Linked DNA regions of Caenorhabditis elegans. The protein of the gene in region 1 purifies or fractionates together with the protein of each later gene. This does not show direct contact. Each region holds a gene or a part of one and is shown on either strand. Other genes may lie near its edges. The genes, in order: K11H12.1 and C35D10.6.

What was found.
Region 2: the proteins of K11H12.1 (region 1) and C35D10.6 fractionate together in Caenorhabditis elegans (co-fractionation; one large-scale study listed by BioGRID). This does not show direct contact.

Annotation. Positions count from the first base shown.
Region 1 is NC_003282.8:651,564-655,582, reverse strand, and holds K11H12.1 (Putative bolA-like protein K11H12.1), read left to right. Parts: upstream 1-2,161; 5' UTR 2,162-2,180; coding exon 2,181-2,246; intron 2,247-2,292; coding exon 2,293-2,409; intron 2,410-3,192; coding exon 3,193-3,336; 3' UTR 3,337-3,453; downstream 3,454-4,019. Other genes in the region: K11H12.8 (Growth hormone-inducible transmembrane protein), read right to left, coding at 1-3, 52-186; rpl-15 (Large ribosomal subunit protein eL15), read left to right, coding at 1,012-1,183, 1,381-1,517, 1,740-2,045; K11H12.9 (Protein kinase domain-containing protein), read right to left, coding at 3,791-3,852, 3,902-4,019.
Region 2 is NC_003281.10:4,857,263-4,861,308, forward strand, and holds C35D10.6 (NADP-dependent oxidoreductase domain-containing protein), read left to right. Parts: upstream 1-2,076; 5' UTR 2,077-2,081; coding exon 2,082-2,141; intron 2,142-2,189; coding exon 2,190-2,335; intron 2,336-2,673; coding exon 2,674-3,052; intron 3,053-3,094; coding exon 3,095-3,292; intron 3,293-3,343; coding exon 3,344-3,424; 3' UTR 3,425-3,510; downstream 3,511-4,046. Other genes in the region: C35D10.7 (ULP_PROTEASE domain-containing protein), read left to right, coding at 1-79, 125-179, 404-1,101, 1,277-1,429, 1,485-1,635, 1,829-1,875; C35D10.10 (Thioredoxin-related transmembrane protein 2 homolog), read right to left, coding at 3,581-3,740, 3,789-4,046.

The DNA.
Region 1 (4,019 bases):
TCCCTGAACTCTTTAAATCGTTTTCTCGTCAAAAATTATTGAAAAACTCACTTGATTTACTCGAGAACCGAATCCGGACTGCCCTCCTCCATAACGAGCTGATTTTGCGGCGGTGTTGGCGAAAAATCGGACTCCCGAGGTGAAAGTCGCCACTTTTGGAACGGTCATCGTGAGACGAGACAACATTTTCTGACTGAAATGATGAGAATACGACGAGAAAAGTGGAAATTGTGTTTGTTTGTGATGAAAACAACCGAGGTCACGTGGGAAAAAATGATGCAACGAGGAGTTATGAAATTTAGAAAGTTCTAGATGTTTTAGAATGTCTAGCGAAAATAACGTAGCCTAAAATAAGGGATAAACCATTTATTATAGCTTTATGCCGGATTTCCAAAGTTCTACAAATAAAAACCACATTTTAGGGAGAAAAATGACTTTTTTATTCGATAGAAACCGAATATTACTGATTTTATAGATATTTTTCGATTAAATATAATGTTTTATCAATTAAAAATACGAAAAAACCAGATAAAAACCTGAAAAAACCTGTAAAACAAGGAAAAACATATTAAAAATCACAAACAATTCGTGTCGATTTACGGCGGACGAGGCTTGGCACACGGCCAGCCGCCGGACTACGGTGTTTGCATTGTGGAGCGTGTTTCGAGTGTATGCGAAGTGTATGAGAGCGTCTTCTCATTTCACACACGAGTTTTGTTGGCCTAAACGATTTTTTTGGATTTTTCAGCAATTTTAGTGAAGTTTTCCTAGGTTTTTCATGAATTTTGTTAAATTAATTTAAAATTTTAATTTTTACTGGCAAAAAATCAGTAGTTTGTTATTTTTACGCAGAATTCCGCCCAAAATGTTGGGACTTTGATGAAATAGATTTTCTGTCAGCCAGAATTTTAAAAAACTATGTTCCATTCTTCGATTCACTTTTCTTTTTCAACAATTTTATTTATTCAACCCCTCAATCTCGTTATTCTAACCTTTTTTCTTTCAGAAAACATGGGTGCATACAAGTATATGCAGGAAATCTGGCGCAAGAAGCAGTCAGATGCTCTTCGCTACTTGCTCCGTATTCGTACCTGGCACTACAGACAGTTGAGCGCCGTCCACCGTGTCCCACGCCCAACCAGACCAGAGAAGGCTCGCCGTCTCGGATACCGTGCCAAGCAAGGTAAGATTGTAAAGATTTGAATAAAATTTTAAAAGCTACTTGCCACAATGTCTGGGCAAGGTGCCCTGCACCCGCTTGAGCAACCTAATCCATTGATGGCTATATAAAATTCATTGAGTAATCCCTGTTGAGTTATATAGAACTTTCCAGTTTCATATCATTGATACAATTTATTGAGATTAAATTTCATTTTTCAGGATTCGTTGTCTACCGCGTCCGTGTCCGCAGAGGAAACAGAAAGCGTCCAGTCTGCAAGGGACAAACCTACGGAAAGCCAAAGACCCATGGAGTTAACGAGCTCAAGAACGCCAAGTCTAAGCAAGCCGTTGCTGAGGTGATTACTACGAATTAAATGATTAGATGAAATTGTTGCCTCAGTGTCTGGGCAAAGCAGACTGTTTTTAATAGTACTGACTTAATCCACTGATGGCTATAGAAAAACATTGTGTAATCCCCGAACACCTTGTGGTGTATTGGATTCATGACATTGTGACAATTTAAACAAAATTTTCAGATATTAGCATTTACTTTTCAAAGTTAATTCGTTGTATTTCAGGGCCGCGCTGGACGTCGTCTTGGATCCCTCCGTGTTCTCAACTCCTACTGGGTTGCTGAGGACTCCACCTACAAGTTCTACGAGGTTGTCCTGATCGATCCATTCCACAAGGCTATCCGTCGTAACCCAGACACCCAATGGATCACCAAGCCAGTTCACAAGCACCGTGAGCAAAGAGGACTCACCTCTGCTGGACGCAAGTCTCGTGGACTCGGAAAGGGATGGCGTTTCTCTGCTACCCGCGGAGGATCCCAAGCCAAGAACTGGAAGAGAAAGAACACCAAAGTTTTCCACCGCAAGCGATAAATCTTGTTATTTTATTTTGTTTTGGGCTTGTTCCGAAAATGAAATGGTTGTTATCAAACCTAATTGTTTTATCTTTGTATTTTTCACATTAAAAAAGAAATAGTTTTTAAAATCACAGTCTTCATGAAAAGAGTAATGAGCACATTGAGCGAAGGCCCAGTAGCACGTCTTCTCAAGGAGAAGCTGTTCGCCGCGTTCCAGGTAAACTGATCTCTAAATATGTCGGAAGGAAACTGTTGAATTCTAGCCAAAACATCTCGAAGTGGAATGCGAGAGCCACCTGCACAACGTTCCAAAAGGAGCCGAGAAGCACTTCCGAGTGCAAGTTGTCAGTGATGAGTTCGAGGGGAAACGTGTCATCGAGGTTGGTGGAAAAAGATCGATACATGGATTAGTCGAACACATGGAAAAACTCGCTAAAGGCCGTGGAACGGCACTTTTTCATAGGCTTTACCAATTTTTCAGCTAAAACATTTGCTTTTTCAACATTATCGCCAATTTATTCCTTCTTAAAAACATGGATTTGTCGATTTCGTGGCTAAAAGTATGATATCTGGTCTCGACACGACAAGTTTTGTTAAATACAAACGGGTGTGCGCCTTTAAAGAGTACTGTAATTTCAAGGACTCGTTTCTGCGCAATTTTCATCGACTTTTCATAATTTTTCGATAAAAATTATTTATTTATTTAAAAAAACCCATAACAATAAAAACACATAAATTCGCGAGAAAAACTATGAAAAATCGATAAAAACTCGGTAGAAATAAAATTTTGAAGTTACTGTATTTTTTTAAAGACGCACTCTTTTTCCAATGTAACAGAAAATTTAGTTTCGAGGCCGCCGGATGATACCGCATTTTTGGAGCAAAAATCGCAAATTTTCGCTAAAATTGGCGAAAATAGTTCAAAAATTTGGAAGTTTCGTGTTTGCGGCCCCAATACCTAACGAGACCCAAATTATGGTTATTATAAGAACAAAAAATTCTGTTGACGTGCAAAATATCTCGTAGCGAAAACTACAGTAATTGTTTAAATGACCCCACTGTAGCTCTTGTGTCGATTTACGGGCACAATTTTTGAAACGAATTTCTATGGTTTTCACAAAATTTGGAAGCCCGTATTAACCCAAAAAAATGTTGATTTTCAGAGACATCGTCTTGTGAACACGTGTCTTGCCAAGGAGCTTGCCACGACTGTCCACGCGCTTCGAATCGACGCTATTCCAACCAGCAAGTGGGACGGACAGAAGCAAGAAGACAGTCCGACGTGCCGTGGTGGATTTGGAAAATAACATGATCATTTTTGAATTTTTTTTTCATGTCAAAGTATGAAAAATATATAGAAGAATAAAAAAGAAACAAGTATTTATTTATTTTTTTTTAATGAGAAATAAATCTTCAAAGTTATCGTTCTCAATCGGGAACCACAGACAAGAAACCGCATGGATGGGGGAATGAAACTCGAACTAGTGGGGGGAATATATCTCTTATAACACGGATTTCTGGCTTCCCTCATAAATTGAAATGGAAGAGTTTACCGAACTAGGCCATTTTGGCTCGGCCATATCTGGGGTAGATTTACGGCGCGCCGCGGCTCGATTTTAGTTGTAAAACTAAATGTATTTGTCCGTGTGGAGTACACGACTTTCCCACGCCTTGGCGGCGATTGTCAATGAAACACGGAAAATTCAATGAGGAAGACCAGAACCCGTGTTATAATAGAAAAAAAATAACAAAAAAAAATGTTCAGAGCATAATCTCTGACATGTTGAATGGATTGAATCGTTGAAGTTCTTCTCGAAGTTTGTCTGAAAAACTTTTATTGAAAATCGATAAAAATTTCAAAATTATTATTACCTAAAACTTCATCAGAAGTTTTCTGCCCAACTACAGTATGCTTTCGCTCGACAGTTTGGTGCTGTGGAGCGCGGAATGATTTGAAATACGGATGACGGAGCAAATCTCGAGCCGATTG
Region 2 (4,046 bases), on another chromosome or scaffold:
GATTGCATCGAACCTGGGACCCATGGTGGAGATTGTGGAAAAGAAGCTCTTGCAACACAAAAATGCGGAAAAACTTTTGGTAAGCAACTGGAGTAAACTTGATTACTGAATATTTCTTTTTCAGAACGATGGCCGGGAAGTTTTCATTAAAACGTTGGAGGAACATAATCAGAAAAAAGGTATTGTGATAATAATAACATTTATTTGTCTCTGTAATAGCTATAGTGGGTGTCAGATGCTTTACATATTTTTGATTAATTTCTTTAAAGGCTCATTGTAGGGAGACACTTTTATTTTGATGATAGGAACTTTTCACAGCACATGTGCCTTCCATGTAGCTTTAAAAAATATGTTTCCACTGATATATAATCTTCCGCACTTTTTTATCTAAAAATAATTTCAGAAAAGGTTGAAAGAAAGGCGAAGCTCGTAGCAATACCACCAATGAAAGCTAGAAACAGGAGGTCTTCACGCAATAGCTTGGTGTACATAGATGGTCCTTCTACTTCTGAAAGTCATTCTTCAATGGTTCAACAAGTTCCCATCATCGACAACATTCCCGAAGTGCTCGAAAATGAGACAGCTGTCTGTTCCATTTCTAGTGAAGCAGATCATAATTCGAGAGGAATCAAAGATAATCAAGAATTTGCAATTGAAATCAGTGGGGAAGTGTCTCGAACCGACGACATTTGTGATGACTTTGCCGTGTTCCTCAAAAAATGCACAGTACTATTGACGAAATTTATTGACTCCTACTATGATTTCCGTTCAACTATGAAACTTAAGCCAGAAGATGCCATTGAGCACTGGAGTGCTGAACGTTTGACCAAAGAGGAACACGCCGCGAGGGTCACAAGATTTGATGTGGCGATCGCTAGAGCGACACGTGTGCAGTATAACATCGATATCAAGCTTCTAACAAAGCAAAGTTTTGTGTTTGACGATGATCGTGAAGCTGCCATTAATAAGAGGCTCGCCCGAATCGAGCGTTTTGTGAACGAACAACATGAAGAAATCAATTGGTTTTGTTTTTCAAATTTTTCACTCATGGATATTGGAGAAACGAAGGATAGATATTGTCTCGGCGATTTTTATGACAAGGTATTACAACTTTTAAAATGTAAAATGGCCACGAAATACTGAATTTGATAACGAGACTGTTTCAAAAATTAATTTTTTTTTTTTTGAAGTCTTGTTGTAAAATTCGGTTTTTAGGGTCATTTTAACTATTGAAACAACACAAAAGTTTGATATATAATGTGTATTTTTTTCGCAGGCTATCAGTATGATTCCAAAAGTGAAAGATGTCCCGAGTGTGGTGCAACTGGCGAAAGAGTGTAAGATGTGGTCCGCATTTGAACGAATTCTCAAGCAATACAATTTTGAGCCGCTGAAAGTTTTTGAAGAATTGCAAAAAATGCTTGAAAAGGTACATTTCAGTTGTTCTGTTCGAATTTAAATGTTTACATAAAATTAATTTTCAGGATTATTTTCTACCGAAAGGTAAGATCTTCTGCCAATTCTTGCTCAATGTCGCCCAACTGTTTTCCTATGATGTCGTTAAGAATGAATGGTCTTGCATCAAACAAATCGACGGGACGTTGTTTTCGGGAGTCCCATTTGATCGCGATGGAAGTGAGTTGGCTGAAAATTATTGAAAAAAAATTAGAAAATTACATTTTTCATCTGAAAAATTGGAAAGTTAGTCTGAAATTCTGAAATATCACAAAAGAAATGCGAAAACGATAAATTTAAAAAAAATTAAAAATCCAAATTAAAAAAAAAACCGAAAACTTCAGATAATCATAATAATCTATGTATTTTTCAGATCTACTCCCCACTTCTCAAAATTCGCCGACCGAATGCTCTTCTTGATTGTGTCATTTTTCTCATTTTTCCATGTAACACATCTAATCATTTCATTTTCATCTTACCATTTTCATATTTTAAACTTGCTGCACAATACATTTTTCCTTTTAAAAATCGTTTTTTTTTTCAGTCTTTTTTGGTTTGAAGCCAACAGTTATTTATTTACTTTTAAACAATTATTTCAAGTGTAATTGTTTTGCTTTTCAGGATCAATGGAGCATCGTGAATATGTTAAGAACAACATGCCATTGATCGGAATTGGCACGTGGCAGGTATTGACTTCGAATAAATCAATTTTTTGACTAAAAAATAAATTTAAGGTTCAAAAAGAAGAAATTCTTCGTCAAGTGATTGATGCAGGTTTCAAAGAAGGATATCGATTCATTGATACGGCACAAGTCTATAACAATGAAGCTAAAATTGGTAGAATCTTGGAAAAATTGCTTCCAGCAAATGGGTTGAAGAGGTAGGTTTTAAAAAATTTATAATTGTTTCTAAATCTTTTTTTAATCCTGCGAGAAAAAACTGGTTTTGGTGTTTCTTTGATTTGAAACCCATTTTCTCTAATTTTCAGCAAATTGTTTCGCTAAAAATGTTTAAATTGAAAAATGAAAAAAAATTCGACAAATTATATTCTAAACCAATAATCAAAGCAAACATTTAAAAAAATTTAAACTAGGTTATTCATTCAATATTATGTAATTCAAATATAGTTCAGCCACTTTTAATCTACAAAATTGAGAAATAATTTTTAAAAATTCAATAAAACCACAGAGCCACCAATTGAAGCTATCTTTTTTTCAGAGAAGACATCTGGATCACGTCAAAGTTAGCCCCATCTAATGCTGGCGTTAAGAAAGCTCGGGAAAGCATTGAGGAGTCACTGAGCAATCTTAAAGTCGAATATTTGGATCTTTTGCTCATTCACTGGCCTGGAAGTTCCCTGAAAAGCGAAAATCCGGCAAACAAGAAACTGAGAGTGGAAAGTTGGAACGTTATGTGTGAAATGATGGCTGAAGGAAAATTGCGTTCAGTTGGGGTCTCTAATTTTGAGATTTGTCATTTGGAAGAATTGAAAAAAGATTCTAATGTTGTCCCAGCAGTCAATCAAGTTGAGTATCATCCTCATTTCCATCAGGACGATCTGGTCAAATACTGTAACGAAAATAACATTCATTTCCAGGTGGGATTTTTCTAAATCTCGCTCTCTTGAAGTTTTTTTCAGGCGTACAGTAGCCTTGGCAGCCCAACATATCGTAAACAATTATCCGAAGAACCTCTGATCAAAGAACTTGCTCAAAAGTACAATGTCGAGATTCCTGTGCTCCTTCTTGGATTTGCTTATTGCCAGGGAATTAGCGTACTTCCGAGAACTACAAATCCAGAGCATGTTGCTACCAATTTTAAAGTTACTAAGCTGGCGGTCTGTTTCTAGATGGTTTTTAGTCCTAATGTCTAAAATTGGGATTTACAGATTACTCAAGAAGACATCGATCGTTTATTGGCTTTGACTGTCGAACACAAAACTTGCTGGGATCCTCGCGTAGTGGTTTGATTTCCAAAATCATTTATCATTATAAATTTAAAGCTACAAATAATCCTCTATATTCTAAATAGATGTATAAATTTTAAATGCCGAGTTATTATTTCTTGTTGTTGAAAGATCTCGTGATTGAGTCGTATATGGAAATTTTGAGCTGTCATCGAATATTTAATCTTCTTTCTTCGCTTTCGCGCCTTTTTTCTCCTTCTGCTCATTGTACAAATTGAGAAGATCGAATGCAAGAACACAGTTCTCTTCACTGAACACAAATGGAACAGCACGACGACTATCGTTGACTAGTGGACGACGAGCGATTTCCTTTGCGTCCCTAGAAATTACAGATTGGTTGAAAATTAAAATAAAGCTTAAATCTTACTTGAATACACAAATAGTTGGTAACTGTCGTGACATTGGATGAGCATTCACACGGAACCGCTCGCCTTCTTTTGCCCATCTTCCAATATCCAATTTCCCAAACTTCATGTTTGGAAGTGTGAACTTTTGACTCAATTCCGCAAAAACGGGTGAAGTATGTCTGCATTCTGGGCTCCATGTTGTGAAGAATTGAATAACCCAGATGGTATTTCGATTTCTGGTAAGTTCTTCGAAAAGCTGTTCACCTTGGAAATATGTC